Linked DNA regions of Notamacropus eugenii. The protein of the gene in region 1 purifies or fractionates together with the protein of each later gene. This does not show direct contact. Links are inferred from orthologs where the notes say so. Each region holds a gene or a part of one and is shown in the gene's direction. Other genes may lie near its edges.

The links. The genes of interacting proteins can lie anywhere in the genome.
Region 2: the proteins of THOC1 (region 1) and DDX39A purify together in Homo sapiens (affinity purification with mass spectrometry; 3 studies listed by BioGRID and IntAct, with this or other methods). This does not show direct contact. The link is inferred for Notamacropus eugenii from reciprocal best matches to the Homo sapiens genes THOC1 and DDX39A.

The regions. Positions count from the first base shown.
Region 1 is NC_092875.1:244,524,540-244,531,746, forward strand, and holds the start of THOC1 (THO complex subunit 1), read left to right. Parts: upstream 1-4,186; 5' UTR 4,187-4,230; coding exon 4,231-4,284; intron 4,285-7,207. UniProt on the Homo sapiens protein: Component of the THO subcomplex of the TREX complex which is thought to couple mRNA transcription, processing and nuclear export, and which specifically associates with spliced mRNA and not with unspliced pre-mRNA.
Region 2 is NC_092875.1:76,522,855-76,530,359, forward strand, and holds the start of DDX39A (ATP-dependent RNA helicase DDX39A), read left to right. Parts: upstream 1-4,489; 5' UTR 4,490-4,677; intron 4,678-5,519; exon of another isoform or gene 5,520-5,611; intron 5,612-7,110; 5' UTR 7,111-7,116; coding exon 7,117-7,324; intron 7,325-7,505. UniProt on the Homo sapiens protein: Helicase that plays an essential role in mRNA export and is involved in multiple steps in RNA metabolism including alternative splicing. Regulates nuclear mRNA export to the cytoplasm through association with ECD.

The DNA.
Region 1 (7,207 bases):
CATGAGGGCAAAGGCTAGAATTAGATTAACACTAGTGAAATACATAAAACAAATAATAGGATATGTTTGACTAAAAATCAAACAATAATAATATTTAATGTAACTGAATTCAATTCCCCTACAAAGAGGATTTTAAAAGTATGACCCTACAGTACGTTGCCTACAGGAAACACACCTAAAGCATAAGGTCAAATACAGATTTAGAACAAGAGGTTGCAATAAAATTTACAATTCTTTAGCAAATGCCAGAAAATCGGGAGTGGCTGTCAGGATTTGAGACACAGCTGAATTCAAATTCTCAAAGGAGAAAGTAATGGGAAAGACAAAGAAGCTGTATCATACTTAAGGTACCTCAGGCAATGAAACAAAATCATATAATTTCCTAATGTGAGACAATTTTTTCTAAAACAATTTTTATTATGAATTTAACCATTAACAGTAATAAAACTCCATGTAAGACAAGGGGCTACTTCTTAACCAAACTCTTTAGCCTTTTAAAAAAACTGATGCTTTTATATTAATTTTCTCTCCACTCTCCTACTTAGTGAGATCTCCTTACAATCAATCTATCAATCAATTTGCATTGAGTTTATTCTTCCACTAGCACCTCTAGTGTGAGGGCTTGCTGGGCCCTTTTCAGGGCTGCTTATCCACCTTTGGGGTCCACCTGCGACTCAGCTCTCACTGTGACTCCAAAATGCTATAGCACGGTACACTGCCCACACCCTGGTAAAAGTGTCTCAGCAGATGGACAAAACCAGGGTGAGAGTAACCAAAAGGCTTCACACCTGTTGGTGAGTTAGGAGGACATCTACTCCAAGCATGTGAATGGGTAGATGAGAATAATTTATCTCAACAGGGACAGGAAGATGGTTACAGCAGGTGCTGTGGAGGGCTGAGAGTTTAGTTAGGCACTGCACATGCCACTGTATCCTGAGCTGTTGCCAGTTGTGTTGACTTCTGTCTTGCCACTTGACTTAGATGACTCTGGAAGAGAGAGTGAGGCTGATGACTTTGTGCAACTCTGTCTTCACTTTAACCTAACTTGCTCAAACAACTCATCACCCAATGATGTCACTGGCCCTATTTGAAAATGAAGGATGAACAACAACTCTGTGTCCAGCTAAGCCCTGGCAGGGTACTAAAAAAAGGCAAAAGACAATCCCTGCCCTCAAAGAACTTACAGTGTAATGGGAAAGCCAACATGCAAACAGATACATACAAAGCAATCTATATATGAGATAAATAAGAAATAATTAACAGAGTGAAGGCACTGGAATTAAGAGTGGTTGGAGAAGGGTCCCTGGAGAAGATGGGATTTTAGGTGAGACTTAAAAAGAAGTCAGGGAGGTTAGTGGGTGGACATGAGAAGTGAGAGCATTTCAGGCATGAGGGACAGCTAAAGAGAGTGCCTGTAGCCACAAAAACGGAGCATTTTGTTCATCAGAACAACCAAGAGCCCAGTGTTGCTGGATCAAAGAATATATGCAGGAGAGTACGTTATAAGAAGAGAGAAGGGGGATAGGTTATGAAGGGCTTTGAATGCCAAACCGAACATTTTGTTTTTGCTCTTGGAGGCAATAAGGAGTCACTAATAATTTATTGAAGAGGAGTGACATGATCAGAACTGTGTTTTAAGAAAATCACTTTAGTAGTTGAATAGAGGATGGATTGGAGTGGGGAGAGACTTGAGGCAGGCCAACTTACCAGCAGGCTATTGTAATAATCAAGGTGTGAGATGATGAGCTCCTGTACTAGTGGTGACAATGTCAGAAGAAGGAAGAGGGTATATTTGAGAGATGTTCCAAAAGTGAAACCAACAGGCTTTGGCAACAGATTTGATATGGTGTGTGTAGTGGGGGAGTTGGGGGGAGAGATGAAATGAGTGACAGGACTACAAGATGACTCCTAGGTTGCAAAGCCAGAGGGATTGGGACAATGTTGTTAGCCTGCACAAGAATATGGAAGGTAGGAGGTAGCAGAGGATCAATGAGATTTGTCTTGGACATACTGAGTTTAAGATGTCTACTGGACATCTGGTTTAAGATGTCTGAAAGGCAGCTGGTGATGGGAGACTGGAGAATCAGCAATGAGATAACTAAACCCATGGGAGCTGATGAGATCACCAAGCGAAGTAATATAAAGAAAAAAGAGGGCCCAGGACAGAACTCTAAAGGATCTCCACAATTAGAGGGCATGATCTGAAGGATGATCCAGATAGGTAGTGTCCTGGAAACCTAGAGAGAAAACAGTATCAATGAGGAGTGATCAACTATGTCAAAGGCTGCAGAGAGGTCACAGAGAATGCAGATGGACAAAAGGCCATTGGATTTGTCAAATAAAGAGATTAGTAACTTTGGAAAGAGTAGTCTCAGTGTAATGATAAGATCAGATGCCAGATTGTAAGGGGTTAAGAAGAGAGAGAAGTGAAAGTAGAGGCCTTTTCTAGGAATTTAGCCACAAAGGATAGAAGAGATATAGGATGGTAATTAGCAGTGAGGGTTTTTTCAAGATAGGGGAGACAGAGAGATGTTTGTAGGCAGAAGAAAATGAGGCAGTAGAGGAGAGATTGAAAATAAATATGAGTGGAGATGACAGAGGGGGCACATTAATCTGTTGGAGACAATGGAATGGGATCCCTTGAACAACTAAAGTGTTGCCTTTGGTAAGTCCTTTAGTAAGGCTCCTTCATTATGTGAGACAGGGGTGAAGAAGCAGAGCACAGAAGAGAGAGAAGGCAGCAAATGTCTTCAATTTTTTGTCCCCTAGAAAATATGAGGCCAGATTCTCAGCTGATAGTGGGGGAGGGGGAGCCATGGGAGGCTAGGCTAAAATGTTTTGGAAGAAAAATTAAAAGAGCAGTTCAGCAAATTTTTAAAGAAAAAATAAACTGCTGTTTCAAAGACTGATAGGAAAAAATAGGACACTAGACATCATACACCAAATTAAGATGAACAACTTAAAAGACTTCAAAAAAATGCTGCAAAATATGGAAAGAATCCACACCCTCCTCAATTCTTATCTTCATAACTCTGCTATGGCACCTGTAACCTCTTTTGTAAATCCTTCCAGCAATTCATTTGCCAGAATGAGCATTTAAATGTGCTTTAGGTCAGGCTGTTACATTAGATGGTTTTGCTCTTTGCTTAACTTTTTTTAAGGGAATGATGGCACCACAGGGTGAGGTGGAAGGAGAGCCGCTTACTGGGAAGTAACTAAGACATAAAAACACATCAAATTTTTTTTTTAAATCACTGAAATAGAAACATCTGGTCACCACAGACTTGTCGGATGACTGCAAACAAAATACCCCCCTGTCCTTTTTCCTGTTGACTCCAAACCCGCTCACCCTTGGTCTCCTGAAGCAACAGGAAAGAGAGAATTCAAGGAAAAAAGAGGACCAACGTACCCCCCACCCCCACCCCAAGCGCCAAACGGCCCAGCAACAGCTCCCCGGACCTACGATCTCCCCGGTGCTGGCACTGCACCCAAGCTACGCCTTGGCGGACCGGCAGTAGCTACGACCCCAACTCCATCTCTCGGGGGTCCCTCCGGTGACGAGGCCCTCCAAGGAGAGGCAGGCTGGGGGCTTCATTCGAATCCAAGCTTTCCCGGCTTGTTAGCGCCCCCCGGGGGACGGGCTTTAGGGACGACTTCGAGAGCCCGGGTCGGGTCACTTCTATGCCCTAGGGAGGCCTCAGGGTGGACGGCGAGCTCAACGGACAAAGGGGCAGCGGGGACAAGAGGGGAGCAGCAGGGTCGCCCCTTCAGGAAGCGCGACAAGGGTGGGCCGGAGGGGGGATTCGCCCACTTTTGCTCCGGCCCGGACCGCGTCCGAGCTCTCCGGCGGCGAACGGGGCTCTGGAGAGGAAGGGGGCGGGCCTCGCGCCACAGGGATCACTGAGGTGCTAACGCGAGAGGGAGACACCTTTTCTCCGAATCCCGCTCGATACCAACGGACAGGATCCGCACAACCACCAGGTGTTCCGGGGCGAGCACAGCCCTCGCGCCACCACCGCTGGCAGAACACGGAAACACCTCCTTCCTTCTGCGGCCGGCGCAGCGATACCGGCCCCTCCGCCAGAGCTCCGCCCCCTCCGCCGACGGCGCATGCGTCCCACACAACCGCCCGGTGCCGCTCTAGCCGCGCAAAGGAGCTCGCTGTGTGCCTGGGACCCTGCGTCATCAGGGGGCGCCACGGCGCGTTAGCGGGCACGCGCAAGCGAGAAGATGTCTCCGTCGCCGCCTCTCTTCAGTTTCCCCGAAGCACAGACTCGGTTTACGGTGAGATGTAGGAAGCGGAGGGGGTGGCCGAAAACCACTTTTTCCCCTTTCTCTCCTCTGCCTTCTCCGTGGTACACCGGCTCTCCCACGGGGAGGAACCCAGAGCAGGGGACGTGTGTACACAGCGGCGTTCTCTACTGGTTTTTTGGGGGGAGGGGCAGGCTACCTGGCCCTTCAGCGCGCGCGTCTCTGCCTCCCCAACCGCGGCAGCATTCCCACTCCCCGCGTGTCCCTCGCGACTCTCGCCACACCTGGTTCCCCACGCAGAGCTCCTCCGCCGCCTCCCCATTGAGGGTAGAGGCGGGAAAGCGCTGGCGCCGGGGGCGGGTGGGTGGTCAGCCTGTGCCTGAGGAGGGAAGACAGTTGAGGGCTGGGGTGGGGGGCTGTCACTTAAACGTGCTGCGTCTGAGAACCCCACAGCTCGCGTCCGCCCCGCGCCAGCGTCGATCGTGAGCTCGGCGGTTCGTTTGCCTTCCTTTCGCTTTTGGCTAAAATCAAGGGTAAATTCCGACTTCCAAAAGTGTGAAGCGTCTGCTGTGTCCTGAGGCACCCTGCTGGGTGCCGGGGGGTAGATGGGACATGACAGGTCATGACACAAAATAACGTGTGAAGTGGGCAGAGGCTGCAGCACGACGCGGGGGAAGTGCTGGGGGAGATCTCCTCGTGGACTGAGAGTGGGTGTGGAGAGGGCCCGCTGGGAAAAACCTGCAGGTGTTCCGCCTAGCTCCGTCGTGACAGCGCTTCACACTCACACCCCCTCCACCCCCCACCCCCACCCCCGGGACTTGGCGCCTGTGTATGTACAATTATGTCAAATTTTCTTTTTACTGGACACTCCCTCCACCGAGGAAGATCCACAGGTATCTTTGCAGGTGAGGACACTGAGGTGTCGGTTCAGCGACTTCTTCATTGTCCCCTCTGGTGGATCAGGATCTCAAACCCAGATCTTATACCTACCTAAACTAGGGCGATTCCCCCCACCATCCCACTGCTTATTTAGCTATTTTCTTCGTTTAATGCTGTTAGATGACTCATACCTGTTGTACAAGATTTGATTGAGTAATTAACATACTTAATTACATGGTCATGTAAATTGGTGCAGAAGTAGGAGCTCTAAAGAAAAAAACTGATCCTTTATGCTGTCACTGTATAAATTTCCTTACATGCTGATGTTTTCTTTGCAAAATGATTTGGGGGAGGGGGGAAATAGTAGATATGACATTGGTGTTATTTTCCATGCGTTCTTTTTTCCAAGTTACTATTTAAAATCGATCCCCTAGTCATTTGTAGTTCTTCTAAGAGGAACCACTTAATCATATTCACTGTCTAGACCTGGTGTGTATCTCCTTTAGAGGTCTTCAAGCAGAGGCTGACTGATCATTTTGTAGGACATATTTTCTGCTGTCAAGTGGACTACATGTCCCAGCTCTCAAATTCTGTGATTTTGTGACATCATCTTATCTACCCTAACCAATGATCCTTTCCCTTATTCGAGCCTCCTCTTTTTCTCAACATAATTTTTTAAAAACCCATTTTGTAGTCCTTAGCATGTTATTTATATACTTACATGTACAGTATAACTCATTCTGTATTTTAATCTTATTCTTATGGGACTAGGTCATTATTTTATATAATCAATTATTTTGGTTGATTGGTTATTTTCCTGTGAATCCACACAGGCTTTTTAGACAATTCTTTTCTCTCTTCATTGCAATCTTTTCTCTTTGTGTCTTCAGCATTTTGTTTTTAAATCCCTTCTGAGCTTTCTCCATAGAATTTTAGGTAAGGGCATTCACTTTCTGAATTCTGAAGTTTGGCTTCTCAAAATCTAAGGTTCATATGAAATTATGATAAGCTTTCTGTTTCCTTAGGAGAAATTCTGAGATGCAGGGATATCCACCTACAAAGTTGCCCTCATTTCTGTTTCAGCAAACTCCTTGTTGGTTAGATTCAAGTCCAGTACCTTGTTGCTTCTACATTTTGATTGGTCAGTAATTTATTAACTTTTTTTCTTTTGGACATCAAGAGAGACAGCTGGAAGATGAACTGATAATTGAAGTCTGTCATCACTACTGTATTATGTGTCAATACCCAGCTTTGACCTATTTCCCAAACTCATTTACTTGCTCCTTCTGTTTAGGTGGTCTGTTGTATCCTCCCATGGCAGTATTACTATTAAGAAGAGATAGAATGATGGTGATGATGACAGAGGAATAAGGGCTATCCAACATTTAATTTGCTTTTGTTTTCTTTGTCAAGGAGAATGGTGTGTGGATTGGAAAGGACAAAACAAAAATGGCTCCTAGAGAGCTGAAAACAAAGAGAAGTAAAGAGATAGAGAGCATCTTGGTACAGAATGTTATACGCTGTCAGCCATGGTGACTTTCATTTGTTTTTGCTTAATTGTTTGTTATAGGGAAGGGTTCAGTGGAAGGGAAAGAGAGTTAATCATTCAGGAATGACTGTGATGTATAAAAATCAATAAAACCCACTTTAAAACCGATCTTGGAGAATAGAAGAGATGCTACAGAAATGGAGAAGGGCAAATACCCTTTCAAGAAAGGGATGAAGGAAGCTGCAAACTATAGGCCATTGTTTGACCTTGACTCCTGGCAAAATTCTAGACATATATTATTATAAAGATGGTTAGTGAACGCCTGAAAAAGAAAGTAATGTTCACAAAGAGTGAGTGTAGCTTCAGCAAGAACAGGGCATGCCATTTTAGCCTCATTTCCTTTTTAGACAGGTAATTAGCCTGGAAAATTCAGGGAATGTTTAAATGTAATTTATTTAGATTTTAGCAATGTATTTGACAGTTTCTCATACTCTCCTGGTGGATAAGATGGAGACGTATAGGCCAGATGATAAAGTATTTAGGTGACTTCAGACCTGTTTGCATGACTGAACTAAAAAGGTAGGTCAT
Region 2 (7,505 bases), about 170 Mb from region 1:
AATTGTAACCTTCTTGGGAAGGAGGAAGGGGAAAAAAGAACAAAACAAAAAGTACATTGCAGAAAACAAAATAAAACTTGCAAGGAAGTAAAGATGGACAGCTCTAAACAAAATGTGTACTATTTATATTATATAGGTTTTATTGAAATGGAAATTAATTGCTTTATATTTTGAATCCTTTCATACATTCTGCTGTGCACGTCAATTTTTTTCTTATTTTGTATTTAAATTTGTTTCTTTTCTTATTTTGTACTTAAGTTTAAAATTGTAAAAATCACCAAAAATAATATTAAAAAATGCAAAAAAATTGTCTTTACATGTAATCGGGATAAAATATTTAACAAAATAAATCAAAAAAAATTTTTAAAAGAACTTTGAATTACTTCTTTGTCCCACACATGTTTAGATTTCCTGTTATACTAATTTGCTAATATACTGTAATCGTATTAGACTGGAATGACACCTAAGACCAAGAACATGCCTTTACTTAGTCTTTGCAGTCCTTATACTGATAACAGTGCCTTGTAGCATACAGAAGTGCTTTTCTGGACAGACCTGTGAGGTTTTCATTGATGTGACTACACCCGGTCTCAAAGGGGTGGGGAACCTGGAGCCTCAAGGCCATATGGGACCCTCTAGGTCCTTGAGTGCAGCCTTTTGACTGAATCCAAATTTCACAGAACAAATCCCCTTAATAAAAGAATTTGTTCTGTAAAACTTGGACTCAGTCAAAAGGTCACAACTCAAGGATCTAGAAGGCCACATGGGGTTTCAAGGTCAAAGGCTCTCTACCCCAGAAAGGAATACCTGGTCAATACAGATAAGCAACAATCTATAACTTACAATCTGAGAGAGCTGTCCAGGGCCCTATAAGTCAGACAACTAGTATGTGTAAGAGGCAGAATTCAAACCTAGCTCTTCTTTAAAGAACCGAACTGGGAGTTAGGAAGGTCTGAGTTCAAATCCTGCCCAAGACATTTACTAGATGGAAGACCTTGAGCAAGTCACTTAATATCTTCAGGCTCAAGTTTTCCTTATTTGTAAGATGAGGATAATGATAGTACTTACTTCATAGAGTCACCATGAAGATCAAATGAAATTTTTTATATTATATGTATACATGTACATACATACATACACGTACACACATACATACACACATATATATGTATATTAAGGGCTTTACAAGCCTTAAAGTGCTATATAAACACTAACTAACTATTCTTGACTCCAAGGCTGGTGGCTCTCCATCTACTGGACAAGGCTGGCTCTCTTAAAAAAAAAAACCCAACATAGGAATAAAGACTAGACCTGTGATTTCATTGGTTTAGGGAACTCCCAGGTAAGGAAACTCTTCCTAACCAATTTAGGTCAGTACCTTCTCTGAGACTTATCATCACAGAGAGTTACCTGGAGCCTTGACAAATTTAAAAGACTCACTCAAAGTCATTCAACCAGTTTAGGTCACAGCCAGGACTTTCTGATTTCAAGGTCAGCTCTCTATTACCACTATTACCACTACTACTACTACTACTACTACTATTATTACTACTAGCTAATACTTATATGGTGCTTACTATGTACCAAGCACTGTGTTAAGTACTTTATAATTATCATAATCACCTTGGGAGGTAAGGGCCATTATTATCCCCATTTTAAAGTTGTGTAAAACTGAAACAAATGGAAGTTAAGTGACTTGACCAGGGTCTAAGGTCAGATTTGAACTCAGATTTGAGCTGACTCTAAGCCCAGCACTCTTCCCACTATACCATGATGACTCTCTAATAAGTACAGGTAGTATTTAATCTTTGCTTTTTCAGTAGGATTGAGTTAAATGTCAATGTGACACAGCCTTAGCCAGATCTGAAGTCAGAGGAGCTCGGCTACCACATACCAGTTCTGTCACCATAGGTGACATTTTTCCAGTAAGACAAGTTCCCAAAGAGCAGTGATGCTTTTTCTCAAACACAGACCTTTCTTTGCCATAGCTGGTGTTCAGTAAACAACAGAGTATCAGAGTTGGAAAGGACCTTAGCAATCACCTAACCCAACCTATCTCTGAGCAAGAATCCTTTCATAATGTCCCTGAGGCATATAGGTGATGCAGTGGCTAGAGCATTAGGTCTGGCTGTGTGATCCTGGGAAAGTCACTTAACTTTTGTCTGCCTCAGTTTCTTCAAATAGTGATAATAACAGCACCTGACCAGCAGGGTTGTTGTAAGGATCAAATGATGTAATATTTTTAGCACAGTGTCTGGAAGGAACATAGTAGGTGCTATAGAAATGCTTATCCCCTTCCTCCTCTCATTTCTAGCAGGGACATAATTGTGATATAAATACAAAATATGCTAATCCTTCCACATTTTTCTTGATTTGCTGTAGCTGAAAGAATTCTTTTCCACTGGCAAACCTTTGGTTATAAGTGTGAATATACAGCAGGCATCTAATACATAATGTATTGAGTGAGTTCCTTTGAAGCGGGGACTGATGAAGGAGTGAATGGAGTCTTTTGGTTGATCATGTTATATCCCTCCCACCCCCATTAAACTCTAGTACCTACAGTGAATATAAATTCCTATATTTCACTTTTCAAGAGCCTCACACCTTGGCCTCTTTTTGCCTTTCCAGCCATTTTACACATTATTCCCTGCTATGCATTTTGCCATCTAGTTGACCTGACCTATTTGCTATTCCATAGATAGGATGATCCATCTCCTGGCTACCCCTTACACCTAGAATGAACCAGAGTAAGCTGCTTGCGGCATTGTCCTTAGACTCAGAAACTTAGGGAGAGCTCATTGTAATTGTCCCCCTTTTCCAGAGCTCCAAGTCAGTGTATAAGCATTTATTAAGTGTTTATGAAGCACAAGGCATACAAAGAAAGGTTAAAAACTCAATCCTTGCCCTCATGCAGTTCTTGTTCCAGTGGAGAAGACAACATACAAGTAATGATGTAAATACAAGATATCTGTTGTGCTGTTCAGTCACATCTGATTCTTTGTTACTCCATGGACCATAGCACCCCTGAAGTCTACCTCCTGAAGTCTGTCCAAACTCAAGTTCATTACCTCCATGACACCATCTATTGCATCCTCTGCCATCCCCCTTTTACCCAATGGGTCGATGTTTGATCTTTTCATGTTCTGTGTGACCACATCTGGCTTACTTTAGTTCATAGATCTTACATTCCAGGTTTCTATGTAATAATGATTTTTATAGCACTGGACTTCCCTCTCGTCATCAGACACATCTGCAACTGAGCTTCCTTTTGGCTTTGGCCCAATGGCTTCATTAGTTACTGCATCTACTTGTAGTTGTCCTGGGCTCTCTCAGTAACTGTTGGCTGCCCACCGGAAGGGCTCATCTTCCCGTGTGATATCCTTTATCCTTTTTAATATAGTCTATGGAGTTAATGGCGTGGCTTGCCATTTCCTTCTCCAGTGAGAATTGGAGAACTGAGCTTTGGTCAGAACTCTTCACTATGACCAGTCCGTCTTGGGTAACCCTGCATGGCATAGCTCAGTTTCCCTGACCTTCCAAAGTCACCTACCACAATACAGCAGTGATCTAGGAGAGGAATACCAGATATAGCCATAATAGATGACAGGGAATGAACTCAAAGGGAGGGGTGAAATACTGTGAAATATCCCTTGGATGTGGTGGGATTTCAGAAAGAAACCAGAGGGATTGCATTTCAGGTATAAGAGAAAGACAGTGAGAAGGCATGGATTTGGAAAAGGAACGGGGTAGCGAGAGAGCTTCATTTCAAGTGTTGTCGGATCGTAGAGCACCTGGACCAGGTAGAAAGAACCTGGCTTAGCGCCTAAATAGCAGGAATAATTAGGTAAAATAAGCTAACATCCTAGGGAGCTCTTCCTGGACTCCCTGGACACCCTCTCTGGCCTCGCCTGGCTTTTCCAGAATCTCTGACCCGTCTACAGAGTCTCTTAGGTCCTTCTCCCCGACCCCTCCTGCATTTTCCCCCGCCTTAGGTGCTGAGGACTCCTCTCCCCCACCTCAATAGCCGAATTTATTTTCAAAATTTGACCGGGGAGCACCTGGGCGTGTTTTGTGGGGCTTGACCTCGGTGCCAGAATTGTTAGTTACAATTGGTAGTTATGGATAGGCTGGGATTGGAACCTGGGGAGCCTGACTTCCCTATCACACCCTAAGAAGCACTGGAAGACAGTAGAGCTCCACAGGAGGGCGATCCACAGGAGTTCCGGCCTTTTACCCACAATGCACAACGCTCTAGGCTGGCTTCACTAGATGATCTTGCCATTAGTAAGTATGGTAGCACCTAGGTATTCGCCAGGCCTGGTCATATGGTCCCATCTCGAGACGGCCCCTTGGAATTAATTAAACCACTCAGAAGGACTTTCGCCGGGATCGACGCAGACTTTGCCCAATGAAACATTGGGACCGTCCCCTCTCCCTCTATAGGTTGCGCGGCCGAGACCAATCAACCAATCAGAGCTTGCTCCCTTCTGAGTGAAAGGCTGACAGCCCAGTGAACAAGGCAAGTTAGCCGGGAAGTTTGGAGGTGGTGCGCCAATTTTAGCAGGAAGAGAAGGAAGTAGGGGAGGCGGTTTCCACTCGAACGCGACACCTCTCCTGAGTTAACTCTTGGCTTTGGGAGCGCGTGTAGGCAGCCGGAGGCAAGCGCTCAGCTCAGAGGTAAGGGGCGGAGGAGGGGGCCGCAGGCCGCGAGGTCCTGGGCGCGCTGGAGATGACGGGCCGGGAAAGGCCTGCGGAGTTGACGCTGAAGCGGCAGGCACGCGGCGAGGCTGAGATGGCGCAGGCCCCGGGGAGGACAGGGAAGCTCATCGCGCGCTGCCGCGGGCCGGGCAAGGGCGGGGGCGGAGCCGCGGCCGGGGCAGGTGGCGCGCGCATGCCACCTCCGGGCCGCCCGACCGTTGGGGCGCCGGGCTGCGGAAGGCGCGCGGCCCGCGTGGGGCGGGAGGCCTGGGGAGCCCGGCGGCGGGGACGCCCTTCGCTCATGAAATACGTGGGAGACTGCCCCCGCAGCTGTGGTCTGCACCCCGAGATCCAAGCCGGGGGGCCCCAGAGCATTTGTCTGAGGGTCATCGGGAGCCCGCCGCCCACGCCTGTCCACGCAGGGGACACCCGTGTGCCCTGGAGGGAGTCTCCCGTATTTGTACTTTACGAGAATGTCCCCGAGAGGGAACCCCTCAAATTTGTGCTTTGGTGGGGATCCCCCTCCTGCACAAGCTTTGGCGGAGCCTCCCGGGACGTGTCTGTCCTCTGACTGCGCCCTCGCTCCCACGGTCCCCACTCCTCTCTCTCCCTAATTAGTTTAGGCATACAGGATTTCCTGAATGTGGGTGCCCTCACCACTGCCACAGGCACCCCACTTCTCACAGAAGGCGTAGTCAGTTCCGACTGAAAAAATCCGCCCCTCCAGGACCACCCTGGCCCATAAATCCGCTCTTTGGACTTAGGCGGTTGCCAGCGTCCGAGACTCTCCTAAGTATTTTCTCCATAACTTGTCAGATTTTTCGCCCCGCTGGCCTAGGTTTGGAGTCTTTTGCTTCCACGCTGCTACAGGAAATATTTTGGTGGGTGACAGTTTAAAGGAAATCTTTTCAAGGTAGTGACAAGTTCACTGAAAAGGATGGATTTTAACAGTCTTTTCTGGAGTAGACTCAGTCTAGTAAACTTGTACAGAGGCTTTTGTAAATGAACATGAAAAAATATTTTTTAGCGTATTCTTAGGAATTCAGAAGGGATGGAGAGAGGGAAAGAATGTGGAACTAGAAATTAAAAGTTAAGAAAAACTCGGTGTGTCCATGAATTCCATGGCCTTTATGGGACAGCTACACAGGTTAATACAGGTTGGAAAGAGAGTGGAAAGGCCTGTGTGCTTACTGACTTTTCTAAATTTTTCCTGTTTTTGTTTAAAGTTATAATTGCTAGCTTAAATTACATATTCATTAGGTGCTCATAAATTATTAATTCTTTACCTGAGCACCTGGTTCCAGGTGTGAGCTTCTTAAGGGTGAGAGCCAGCAATCTGTAGCTAGTATTCTGAGGCACACAAACTTTTAAATAACTTGAGACTGAATATCAGGAGAGAGAAGACGTGATATCATAAATGTTCTTGGTGACAGGAAGAACATTTTTAAGCTTTATTTTGGGGGTCCCAAAGATGGTTAACATGTAGATGGTTAACAGTAGATTTTTTTGGTATTGGATGGGAAAGCATTGCTAAAAGTTTTGTTGGATGTTTTAATCAAGCAAAAAGACGGTGTTTTGGAGTCCAAGGAAAGAAGGCACCTGATTCATCCTGTCTTTGTCTTCCTCTATGTTTGTGGATTTGAAGTTCCCAAGTTCTGTGGCAGAGAATATTTGGCTTAAATTTTCTTTTAACTACAAGGTTTTGTCATAAATACATTTTAACGCATGGATTAAAATAAGTACTGCCTTTTAATCGGATTCTTCTTTTCAGGCTATATTAACCTAATTAAGAAGCTTAGGTGATAGAAGTAGGTATTATGATCTGTATGCTGGTATAGATCTACATCTTGGCAGGAGGCTTTTTAATAAAAGCATTCTAACTAAGGGTGGTGTAGTATGAGCCCCAAATAGAGGGAGAAAGAGCAGTTTTAAGTTGGGGCTCTATAGCAGCAATCTGCCCATCCCTAGTAGTGAACTTTATTTTTTACCTTATGCCTCTAGAATGTGTGGTCTTGTCTTAACTGGCTTGTGAGTTTTCCACTGCTGAGTCTCCCTGGTACTTATTCCACTCCGTGCCTACTGCAGATGGGTATTGAACACAAGTATTCAAATATGTTGGTTGTCTGATAAGATAGTTTGCTAGGCAGAAATGGCCATGAGGAGGGCAAGATTCATGGTGCTTGCTGGCTTCCAGCTTTGATTTGAGGAGTTAGAATCTCTAGTACAGACAGTGCAAAAGGACTTTTGGACTCTTGATGTGTCCAGGGATTGAGGGGGATCTGTGTTTTTGTCTTTTTGTACTTAGCACTTGGTTGACCCCTGTCCTCTCTCTGTCAGTGGCCTGGAAAAGCAGGTACTGCCCTTCTTCCTGCCATCTGTGATGAACCAGCTACATCTTTCTTTTCTCCTCAGGGCAGAATGGCTGAACAAGATGTGGAGAATGAACTGCTTGATTATGAAGAGGATGAGGAGCCCCAGCCCATGACAGAGAGCACACCTACGCCTGCCAAGAAGGATGTGAAGGGCTCCTATGTCTCCATTCATAGCTCGGGCTTCAGGGATTTCCTTCTGAAGCCAGAGCTTCTGAGGGCTATTGTGGACTGTGGCTTTGAGCATCCATCTGAAGGTAGGCCTCTCCCCCTTCCATTTTCGCAGTTCCAGCTATTCACAGAAATAGGTAGTATTTCTGGTGAATAATAATGGCTAACATTTATATAGCACTATGAAGTTTGCAAAGTGCTTTACATGTAGTACCTGATTTGATCAGGTTTGCTCATCTAGAACAGCAGTTATTCAGTTTGCTCTCT